Caenorhabditis elegans: one gene and its partner. The protein of the gene in region 1 purifies or fractionates together with the protein of each later gene. This does not show direct contact. Each region holds a gene or a part of one and is shown on either strand. Other genes may lie near its edges.

What was found. The genes of interacting proteins can lie anywhere in the genome.
Region 2: the proteins of nit-1 (region 1) and gpa-10 fractionate together in Caenorhabditis elegans (co-fractionation; one large-scale study listed by BioGRID). This does not show direct contact.

Annotation. Positions count from the first base shown.
Region 1 is NC_003281.10:3,919,353-3,925,202, reverse strand, and holds nit-1 (CN hydrolase domain-containing protein), read right to left. Parts: upstream 2,997-5,850; 5' UTR 2,977-2,996; intron 2,943-2,976; 5' UTR 2,860-2,942; intron 2,759-2,859; 5' UTR 2,752-2,758; coding exon 2,540-2,751; intron 2,392-2,539; coding exon 2,072-2,391; intron 2,023-2,071; coding exon 1,941-2,022; intron 1,720-1,940; coding exon 1,416-1,719; 3' UTR 1,330-1,415; downstream 1-1,329. Other genes in the region: ZK1058.9 (uncharacterized protein), read left to right, coding at 26-127, 234-500, 767-892, 941-1,045, 1,093-1,204; metl-6 (tRNA N(3)-methylcytidine methyltransferase), read left to right, coding at 3,497-3,577, 3,628-3,780, 3,828-3,974, 4,023-4,178, 4,230-4,502; ZK1058.3 (putative galactose-1-phosphate uridylyltransferase), read right to left, coding at 4,565-4,873, 4,927-5,112, 5,370-5,552.
Region 2 is NC_003283.11:6,850,806-6,856,960, reverse strand, and holds gpa-10 (Guanine nucleotide-binding protein alpha-10 subunit), read left to right. Parts: upstream 1-2,149; 5' UTR 2,150-2,157; coding exon 2,158-2,219; intron 2,220-2,265; coding exon 2,266-2,373; intron 2,374-2,556; coding exon 2,557-2,695; intron 2,696-2,748; coding exon 2,749-2,909; intron 2,910-3,313; coding exon 3,314-3,482; intron 3,483-3,532; coding exon 3,533-3,622; intron 3,623-3,671; coding exon 3,672-3,825; intron 3,826-3,867; coding exon 3,868-3,949; intron 3,950-4,131; coding exon 4,132-4,237; 3' UTR 4,238-4,440; downstream 4,441-6,155.

The DNA.
Region 1 (5,850 bases):
AAATTAAATTTTAAAAAATTTTCAGACTAACCGAAGAAGAACTCGAAGAAAGTTTGGAAACTATGCCAGAATACAACAATTATCGCTTCAACCGTAGCAGATCTGTCGATCTCAGCTCGATTTCTAGGTATGTTTTGGAATTTCTTCGAAATATTTTTTTGAATATGTGTGGAAGTTTTTGCTTTGTAAAATAATCAAGAGCGGAAGTTATAAAACTAAACTTTATTTTTCAGGGAAAAATACCTGTCAAGATGGTCCAGAGAGAACACACCAGTTGACAATGAGAAGAGATACGCTTCTCATGTCCGTCGCAGTTACACTCCAGTTCGTGAAATTTCCGCCGTCAACAATGTGAACGACGGAAATTTGCATCGTTCAAGAACTCCATTGGCAACCGTAACAGCTCCATATCACACAAACATTCATTATCGATCGGAAAACGAACCATTCAGGAAATATGATGTTTATGGATTGAGAACCTGGAGTTATCCTATTTATAAGTAAGTCGTTGGGGTTTTTTTTGCGGGTCAAATGCTGCTTTTCTGTTCCTGTTGTTCCGAAATGTTTTTGACAAACTTTACATCTCTAGAAGATTTTCTGTTCAAAAAAATGTTCTGCATCTTCTCTTTTCTAGTGTAACATCTAGAGTTCAAGGCGTCAAAATGTCAATCGAAGAAATAAAAAAAGAAGCTAGGATATTCTTTTTTATTGGGCAAGAACCACAGAGCACATTAAAATGCAAAAATTGTTTGATTTTTCATTTCAGATATGTGTACGGACGAGAGGGAGACTACAGACGGCCATATTCATTTGATAGGAATTATGGATTAACACCCAGCTACACGCCTCCGCAGTTGACCGCTGAAAGTCGACCGATAACAACCAGACGAGGGTAAGAATTCCATTTATACCTGTATCTAAAATTTTCAAATTGTTTCAGATACTCCGGCTATTCCTATCTTGCCAATGAAACACATTATGACATCACCAGCCGCCCGAAAAGTTTGAGCTCCTACATGTACAGTAACAAGTATCTCGGAACCACGTGAGTATTTTTTGCACGTAGATAATGATGCATAGAGTCCGTTACAGAGCTGCCCCATGGTACTGGTCATGTTATGGAAACAGTGGTCTTCGTCACTTCAACAGCTATCGCCCACACAACTATACAAGCTCAACCGCTAGCTGGTCTCGTTATTATTAATGAATTTTCCTCCAACTTTTGTCCTCTTCTTCTTCATCGAATCGATCGATTTTTCCTTCCCCTGCCACGTCATCGCTTAATCATTTTCTGCTTTCCCCCTTTTATTGCGATCGACACAAAAAAAATTCACACAAAAATTGTTTTATTTGTAAATTCATTGGACCTTGAAGTCACACCTCCAAGACTAGAACAATAAATTTTGAAATTAAATTCACTTCTTAACTACTGTACTCTGTGAATTCTCATTGACCTTCAACTGGAATACATCCGGCCTACTGTAGTGTCCGACGACGTCTAAATCCATTTTTCCAAGAGCTAAATCAGAAAGATCGAATTCCGTGTAGCGAATCGTTTCTTTTGTGAAATCTGGCTCCACGAGCACAGTTCCAAGTGGATCAACTGCGCATGATCCACCGCGAATCAAGACTTTATCTTCACCGTGTTCTTTTCGAAGTGGGTGATCCAAGGGATAGTCGGAGGATTTGAGGAATTGACATGCAGATACTACGAAGCATCTGGAAGAAAATATTTGGGAGAATTCGAAGTTTGAACGGTCAGGGGCCGAAAACGGTCTGGGGTTCCAAAATTGGAGGTGAAGACCCATCAAGTTTGAGATAAAGTATTCTAAAATTTGGGCCAAGGGACTCGAAATTTAGAGTCAAAGATCTCAAAATTTTGGATCGAGAGGTTTCAAAATATGTGGCTAGGCAATTTGAAGTCAAGGGTCTTTACTAACCTTCCTTCTAATGCAATAGTCCTCATGGTAGAGAGCCAGACATCTCTATCGTCGACAGTTGGAGCTAGATAGATTTGGATTTCTGAAATTAATTATTTCTTGAATTTAGGTGTTAAATTAAATTTACTAACCTTTACTGTAAAGCGTCATTCGATATAATGGCATATAATTCTCCCAGCAAATGGCACTTCCAATTTTTCCAACACTTGTACTAAACACAGGCATTGTTGAACCATCACCTTGTCCCCAAACACATCTTTCTAGAGCAGTTGGCAAGAGTTTTCGGTGCTTTCCAAGGTAACCGGAGGGTGAGTAAAAGAATACAGAGCAGTATAAGGTTGAAGCTTCTCGTTCAACTACTCCGATTACAATATGGATATTATTCTGAGCTGCTAGAGATTCGATGAGCTTCGATTCCTCGCCGTTCTCTTCGATGGCGTTTTCGAAGTATCTATAACAGAAAAGTTATGCCTCGGCCGATTGTGAAGACATCAAAAAAATGTAGAAAAAGAAATGGCACATATTTTGTCAGTTGACAATTTTGTGATAAAACAAAAGACACTCGAGTTGTATGTGATTTCAAAGTTTGGTCATCCCACCTTTTAAACTCTTTCCTTCCTTCTGGAGTTCGTGTGCCCATTGTGATTCCAAAGCTGTTCCATTTTGGATATCCACCAATAAAAGCTTCAGGAAAGAGCACTAGTTCAGCTCCATTTCCAGCTGCTTCTTCCACATTTTTCTTAACTTTTTCCAGAGTTGCTGGTTTATCAAATAGTGGGGTCCCCGCTTGAACAATTGCAATTTTTGGCATTTTGAATCTGAAAAAAGGAGCATAGGGTTTGAAAAGAAGGATATTTTTCAGCTAAATTTGCTTCGTGGCCGAGCTTTCCATTTTCGCGGCCACAAATAAAAAGCCCACCTGGCCACCTATGCAGCTGAAAATACTGTCTGCACAGATGTTTTAAAAAAGTATGAAACCAAGAAAAAAAGCTATGGGATGTTACAAATACTAAAAAATGTATTCTTTTTATATAGCGACCAACAAGTCATCAAAGGCAAAAATGAACTCGGCATGGTCTGGCTGACGAAATGAAAATGATGACAATTAGTGATATGATAAGAATGTTTTCTTTGAGGGTTCATCGATGAGATTGTAAATTGTCACGTAGGCAAGTTCAAAATATCATTCATTAAAAGATGATGATGATCTATTGTTCTATTCTTTTGTAGTCACTTATAGTTTGCCTGTAGCAAATTGGGTTGTTTCGAGGGGACATTGAAGCGACAAGATCAATATTTTATGAACATTGCTCAAGAATGTTTGCTTAAATATTTATTTTGAACGAAAATGTCTATTTAGTCGCTTTTAATTGTTGAATTCAGATTTAAATTGGAAACTGTGATTTAAACTTCCGCGCAAAACATAGCGGGAGATCGGAGCGTCGTTGAAATTTTGTACTTTAATTTTTTTTTGTTTTTTTTTCATAATTTCCTCTTTTTTTTCTTTTTTCCTTGCTTTTTCCACACTAGTGTAAGCTTAAAATTTTCCAGAAAACATGTCAGATGATGGGGGCTTTCTTTCAAGTCAAAGTTCAAGGGAATTAACAGAAGATGACCATGAAAAGCTGGCAAAACAGGTATTTAACTAAAACTGTATTTTTAAAAACGCTTAAAAATGAATTTTCAGACGAGTATAAGCGATTTCAAGCGAAATAAACTGGAAATTGACGCTCGAAAAAATTGGGACAAATTCTATCATCGAAATAAAAACAATTTCTTCAAGGATCGGAATTGGAGTGCAGAAGATCTGAAAATGATGTGCCCAGACATAGATTTCGAGGTTTTAATTCTGAAATTGCACTGAAAAATTTTTAATTTTCATTTAAGAAAGAAATCTCCTATCTGGAAGCTGGATGTGGCGTCGGCAATATGCTTTTCCCATTAGTCGCTGAAATTCCAAATCTGAAACTTTTTGCATTCGATTTTTCGGACAACGCGGTGAAATTGTTGGAGGAACGCGCAAAAGAGCTTGAAGTATGTGCAAAAAACTCTGATATGAAACGTTTAAAATTAAATTTTCAGCTTTCCGTAGCAACATCTGTCGTGGATTTGTCAATTCCTTCAGTTTCATCTCCATTCGAAGAGCAAGTTGATCTTGCTACACTTATTTTTGTGCTATCCGCGATTCATCCCGAAAAACATCAAATTTCAGCGGAAAATGTAAGAAAAATGATAAAAGTGAGTGCTTTTTTAATTTCCAGCAACATAAAATTGGAATTTTTGTTCCAGATTGGAGGCTCTGTTGTAGTCCGGGATTACGGTATCAATGATCACGCTATGATTCGTTTCGGCCGGGAAGCAAGAATTTCCGATCGATTTTATGTTCGACAAGACGGCACCAGAGCTTATTATTTTGATTTGAATGAGCTTTCGGAGGTTTTTGAAAAATCTGGATTTCGATGTGTTCGGAAGGAGTATCTACATAGAATGACGGTTAATCATCAAAAAGGCCTGAAAGCTCCGCGGATTTTTGTGCAAGCCAGGTTTATTAGAGAGAGTTAATTGTTTTTTTTCAAATGTTTATTCGATTGTTTTGTTCTTGTTAACTAAAGTTGTTAATAAATTTATTGCAATTTCTTTGAATAATGCTCTTCATCGATCTCGCTCAGCGTTTTTGCAGCAATCTCCGGCGAAAGATCCCGTTGTTTTTCAGCAAAAACTTCATATCCAGCAAGGAATTTCGGAACAGTCGCCGAACGAAGAAGTGGCGGGAAGAATGACAAGTGGAGCTGCCAAAATGAGCAATTTTCAGTCAGAAAAGAGCCAGTTGGGGCTCCAGACCATCCCATCATGTAGGGAAATGAGCATTCAAAGACATTGTCGTACTTGATGAGTAGAGAACGAAGAATTTCAGAGAGTGATTGCTTTTCAACCTGGAATAGCGGAATTTTTGCCATTTTTAAATTATAATTTCAAATTTACGAACCTCTCCCAAATCAGTGAATCGTTCCACGTGTCGATTTGGTAGAAGCATTGTCTCATACGGCCAGAATGCCCAGTACGGTACGAGCCAAGTCCAGTGCTCATTTCTCATGATTATTCGTTCCTTTTTTAGAGTTTCCTGCTCCAGATAGTCCATCAGCATAACCTTCCCGTGCTTTTCGAAATGTTTCTGAAATATATTAATTTATTCTACCGGTTTTTGAAATGCCCCGCAAAAAATTATGTACGTTTTTTTTAGAAGTACAGTAACCCATTCCGAAATTTTCTTAGATTTTACTATTTACGATTTTTAAAATTGTAAGTGTCATATTTTGTTTCAAAACTACATTGGAAATATGAAATTCAAGTAAAACTGCAAAGAAGTGAGGTTACTGTACTTCTTAAAGGCGCAGCTTCGGTTTTCGAACTTCAAGTTCGTGGCGAGACCTTTTGACTCTCATGCTTCTTCATTGGCAGCGTCGGAAGATAATTTGACGCCCACAGTTGCCCATGTGGATGCATATTCGAACATCCGACAACTGCTCCACGATTTTCGAAGATTTGAACCCATTCGTATTTCGGGCCGAGCTCCAGATATTGTTGGTTCCAAATGTCAATGACAACGCGGACCTGAACATTAATTTTTAGATGTAGTTGGGCTCATACTTGGAAATGGGAGAATAGCCGTGAAATCTCTACCTCGGCATGTGTAGATTTACGCAGCTCGTGTACTCCCCGAGGAGAACTGTTTTGGAACGGAATATAACAGTTTAAACTTCAGTTTTCGGCTTGATCTCTTAATTTCAGATAATTTTCGCCATTCGTAAGCTTTCAATTTAGTGTTTAACTGATGAAAATCGAAAATTAATAAGTTTTTGTTAACGATTTTTCCCTGCAGAAAACAAATGAACACTTCTCCTCGGGGAGT
Region 2 (6,155 bases), on another chromosome or scaffold:
AATTCAAATGCAAAAACTTGTCAGTTTATCTAATTTCCTAAACACTTCGAGAGTGGGCATTTCATAGGTACGGTCGGTTTCTGGAATTTACCCTGGTCAGCGAAAAAAAAATCTGCTCGTGAGCAAGAATTCTCAAAATTGGAGATTCTGGTTCCAGCTGGTCGAAAACATAAATAAAATACGTTGTCTGACTTTTTTTTTGCTATAAATATCTCTAAATGTTCTAAAGTCACCATATTATCCCAGACAAAAATTCCATGATCTGTTTATTAATTTTCACAAAAAAATTTAGGTGATAATTCTGACATTTGTGATCTGAAATCGTTTAAAAATTATTTTGAGGTTCGTAAATGTAACTTCAAAAATCATTCTTATCAATGTTTAATTCCGGTCTTTCCAATATTTCATACAAAATGAACGAACTCCGAATTTGGCTTGATTTTATTTTAATCTTGGCATCTTGTGGTGCATGATTCGGCAAGAATAATTCAATATCAGAAAGTTCGAACATAATTTTTTTGCAATAATCTTTCCGCTTTTATTCGTTTTCAGACTCACAAAGACATTTAACTCATTTACTTTTTATTATTTTAGCTAGTGAAGTTTGAGATTTGGTCCCAGTGTTATTATTGATATCAAGACCAGATAAACTTGTTTCCGGTTTAACTCACAACAAAGCTAACGATTTCCGTTTGCGTGTCGTTTAAAAAACTTTACTCAATTGGCGTAGTTCTCTCTTTTTCAAAACGCTTTTCTAATCTATCTATTTTTCTGACCAGCTATCATAAAACCATAGCAACATAAATGTTTCCCTATAGAGCATCGGGTATTCTGTTTTTTTTTGATTGATAATATAAATATATCTCCCTCTAACCCAAATACACAACCAACAATCACATTATCTTTTTTCCTTCTTTTTGATCATTCCCACGCTCAAGTAGTCTCGCGATTTTTGAGTGTATTTCATTCAACATGCAAGTCAGAAGTTGTTCTCGTGTTTTTGTTTTGTTATTCACCTTTTAGTTTCTTTGTTACAGAGAGGCTTAATTGGGAATCTGCGGTAGTCAAGGAAACCGGGGGGAGAGGACCGCCGCTAATCATCACTACCTTCCTTCTCATTTCATTTAATCATAACTTTGCTTTTTTCCCTTTTCTTCTCTCGTGTTCTCCACAACTTTTTTTTTACATTTTTGTGTTGTCACGACTTTTAAGCCTATGTGATTTTAAATTTGTGTTGAGCTCATGCGCTTTTCGGAAAAATTTTGCGAACATAACGATTACAACTGGTTTCAAACAAAAATGTAATTTATCGCCATTTCATTTAAATATTTCTTGACTTTGACGGGTAGTGAAAAAGTGTTCAGATGTTTTTCGGTGAACCAAAATCTGTGGTTTTAGAGAAAGTTTCCAAATGTCATTTTGAACGTTCTTGAAAAACTGGTTCATCTTTAACATTGAGACAAAAAACAATTTGTGTTAAAGAAAAAAACATCCCAATCTAAAGTACAAATCTACAAATCTAAAGTAACTATGTTCTTCACGTGCTACCATGTTGCTTTTTCATGGAAAATTATGGCGTCACACAAGGTCTTGAAATTTAGGATTTACCTATCTCTCTTTAAGTCTAACAAGTTCTTTCGAAATTATATTGTCGTTTCTAGTGTTGATGACTTTTGAAAATTAGTCAACGAGTTTGGTTTCATCCCGAGTTACGTATCTATTTATTTTTTTTTTTTGGTACATATTCAGTTTGTCGCGCGGCTTTGAAATACGGGTTTCAAATAATTTTTTTTGAAGGAATGTTCTCTTGCATTGATGGATTTGAAAATTCTCATGAAAATAGTAACTTTTTTTGACGAAACTTGTACATTCTCTCTGAGCAATACAGTGGAAATTGACTTTATTTCCGGTGTGAAATCTACATTTTCGTTGCCGAAAAGTCTGTTCAGTTTGTCTCGACAAGCTTTCTGAAACTTTTTTTTTGGCATGACAACATGTTTTGTTTTTTTTTTTCTGATTAGTCATTTCATTTGTCTCGTTGTCTAAGTTGAATCTCGCTGGCATCCTATAATTAAAGTTTGCGTTCTCTATCATAATCGTCATAATCTTTGAATTATTTTTGTTCTTTCAAAAATTTCAATATATGTTCAGGGAAACATGGGGGTCTGTCAGTCATTTGTACTCACTGACGAGATGAAGGATCAGATCAAAGTTAACAAGTCAGTTTTTGAGTTACATGTTTCATAATTGTCGTTAATATTTCAGAGAAATAGAAAAACAGCTCGAAAAGAAGAAAAACATGCAATTGGAGCAAACCGTTCTTCTACTGGGGCCTGGTGAAAGTGGAAAAAGTACTGTCATGAAACAGATGAGGTATATTTGATTTTTTAATAATTCTTGTACATGACCTAATATTTTGAATTAACAACGGGAAAATAAATAGGTTTCTGATTATACCTTGGGAGTTGTGTCTGTTTCTTTCTGTTTACAGTTTGAAAATTAATTAATAACTATTATATTTCCTGTTATATGGGTAGCCAAACATTCTATTTTCAGAGCCATGACTGGAAACTACACAAAGACAGAACTACACGAACGAAAAGTGCTAATTATACAGAATTTATGTCAATTTTCTGAGATGTTGTTAGAATACGTCAGAGAATATATTTTGGAGATGACGGAAGACGATGATAAAGTGAGTTTTGCGACCTCTCGGGTTTTATTAGGTTTCAAATTAAAAACTTTTAGCGATATACTGTGATGTGCGAAGAACTGAAAATGGCGGTAATTCATGATGGAATAATGAGACCTGAACTCGCCGATACACTGAAGGAATTCTGGGGAAACAGTGCAATACAGGACGCGTATTCCAAGAGAGACACATTTCATTTGACAGATAGTGCCAAGTAGTGAGTTTTTTTTTTGGAAACTTGTAGCGCATTCATAGTTAGAATTATAGAAAAATGTTTCAATTGATTCAAAAACACGTTTCAAAAATGTCTGAAATGTTTCTTAAAATATTCTTTTATGTCACACAGTTATTATTTAAATGTTTCGAGTTATGTATATGTTTGTTCGTTCACAAATAAAACCAAACTACAGACATTGTTCGTGTATCTGTCATTTGGTCTAACGGAACATGTAATTAACAGGTCTAGAAAAAAAAAATTGTGATAGTGATCGCTGAAGTCTATGATGTTAACTTGTTTATGTTCTTGTTCTAGCAGGCAAATTTTGCAATAAAAAATCAATTGAATAACTACATTAAATTATCTCAAAATTGTGTTATTTGAACTTAATAATTCATTTTCAGTTTCTTCGACAACATCGACCGTATAAAATTGCCAGGCTTTGAACCGACAAATCAGGATATTGTTCACATACGGGTACCTACAACGGGAGTTGCACAAGTCGAAGTTATTATGAACAATATCAAATTGATGATTTGCGATTGTGGTGGACAACGATCTGAAAGACGAAAAGTTGGAAATTTAACTATTTCTTTGTTTCCTAATTGAGAATTTAATTTCAGTGGTATCACTTTTTCGATGAGGCTGACGCTGTTCTTTTTGTAGCGGCTATTAGCGAGTTTGATCAGAAGTTAGCGGAGGATGAAGAGACGGTAATTTTTCCAAACAGCCACAAAATTGAAACGAAAAATTAAATTTTAGAACCGTATGCATGAATCCATCAGATTGTTCTGGACAGTTTTTAATGGAAAGTTTTTCAAAAAAGCGGCAGTCATACTTTTCCTGAACAAAATTGATTTGTTCGAGGAGAAAGTAAAACATGTGAAGATTAAGGATTACTTTCCAAAATTTGAAGGTTTGTTTTCCAAGTTTTTGAATTCATAGTTTCATGTTTCAGGAGCAAACACAGTTTCAGAAGGTACAAAGTTCTTTCGGAGACAATTTAGAGAAGGGATTCACCCGGACTTCAAAAAAAGAATGTGAGTTTTTGAGACTACAGTTTTGTGTCTACTGCACTTTTGAAAATCTAACTATGAACTTACAAACTAAAAGAATTCTGAACGTATTCGACTTCTTGGATATTTTTGACTTTTTTGTGCCAGTATGGAACACTAACAGTACTAGAAAATAAAATGTAAATTTCAAAAACGTAATTTTACAGGTACACCCATGAAACATGTGCAATATCGGATCAAGTTCAAATAATCATCAATACAGTGATAGATACAGTTATTCAAGATAATCTCAAAGATACGGGAATGATATGAACTCCAATCGCTCTGCACAAATTATTGTTCTTCAATTTAGTATCTGCCTCAAACAACGTGTGTGATTAGTAATAATTATTCCCTATTCTATTTGAGTGGTGTCATTTTTTATTGATTGAAATTTATCGTGACTGAAACTCTGATGAAAATTTGTACTAATTTTCAGTGTAAAGTGAGAACCAAATAAGATTAAAGGAACATACATATTTATTCGAATCTCTTTTAGAAGAAAAATGTTCAATCGTTTTTACCTGACTTTTCACATCTTCTCAAACAAAAACATGCGACAAGATAAATGGACAGAATTCCAAAAATATACGGAAAGATAATAACAAGGTATACATCTAAAAGATTTCTTTGAATGAATCCAAGTGTCCTCCCATATGGATCCATTTCCGGGAACGGACCAAATTTTGCAACAAATTCAGTGTATTTGACTACGGTCTCCTTGGGATTTGTTGGTTGGTTTCTCAACATTTCTGCCAGTTTTTTAGAGTTCTTCTTAAAATGATCGTCGTTCAAAATTGAATAAATGGAATTTTTCACAAGTTCCCTTTTCCAAAGATCGTTTCGACTACAAGAACTCCTCCATGTCTTGCCAACATCAAAGAATTTCTGTTTTGATCGGCAAATACTGGTACCATTAATGCTGGTTTACCAAGATACGCAAGTTCAGTTGTGCTACCAAGACCTCCATGTGTCATGAATGCTGTTAAACGGTCATCATTTAGTAATGCGGTTTGAGGAATCCATTTTGAAAAATGAATATTTTCAATTTCTTCTGCTCATTGCAAATCATTTGTTTCATATTTCCAAATAAGCGTTACATTTGGTAAAGATTTAATTGCATTGAAAATTTCGTCTCTGAAATACATATCTGATTAATATTTTGATTACAACAGTGTGAAAATTATTAAAATAATTATAACTTGAATATGGAGTGGAGTTTTTGGAGTTTTTGCCTGAAAAACTGGCTTGAAAAAAAATGAATTCATGGCTCGAAAACTTCAAAAAAAAAAAAAAAAAAACTTCATAAGAAATAAATTATCAAAATATGAAAAATAAGAAAAAAATATGAAAAATAAGAAATAAATTATCAAAATAAATAGAAGCTTTTAGTCAAATGTATCTCTTTTTCAAAATATGAACCTTTAAAATGTCAATAGTTTGATGCATTTTCAGTTGATAAGTAGGCAAATCTTTCAGCTTTTGTGAGTCTATCGACTGAACAGGAATGGTTCATCTAATAGAAGTCACCAGGTTTACATAAGTCAAAAAAAAAGAAGACGATGTCTACTAATATCTACATACGTACCTGAACTGTGAAGGCATATCCACATTATCAATGAACCAAAAGAGATTAGCATTGTTTGTGGTCTTTTATCCAAAACTTTACTCCACTCCACTGGGAGCCTTTTCGATTTTATTTCTTCCATATTCACGGAAATTCCACCAATTGGAACTGTCTTTTGGGTAATAGTTCTTGGAAAGTCTACATATGGAATTGAATTTGTGAAGAACAATGAGCAAGCTGGCATTAAATCTCTCCAATGTGGAACGCTATCTCCCAAATATTTTTTTGTAAATTTCAGTTTCTTTGTCCCAAACTCCAAAATCTTTTCTATATATTGCTTGTGTCATCTGATAGTTTTCCACTTTTTCAGTTAGACCCATCTTATCTCCACATTTGCTGTACATTCCAGGAACATAACTGAAATCGATAGATTCCCCAATCGTAGAAAGAACACCGTCGAAGAACATATACAACGATGCCATTATGATTTTTTCAATTCCTAGAGCGTGCATGTACCCGAGACCACAGACAAGTTGCGGTTCAAAGATTCCAACATCGAATTTTTTGGACTTCATTTCGTTAAAAACTATCCTGTTTCTCATCAAATTACTGCATGCCAATTTA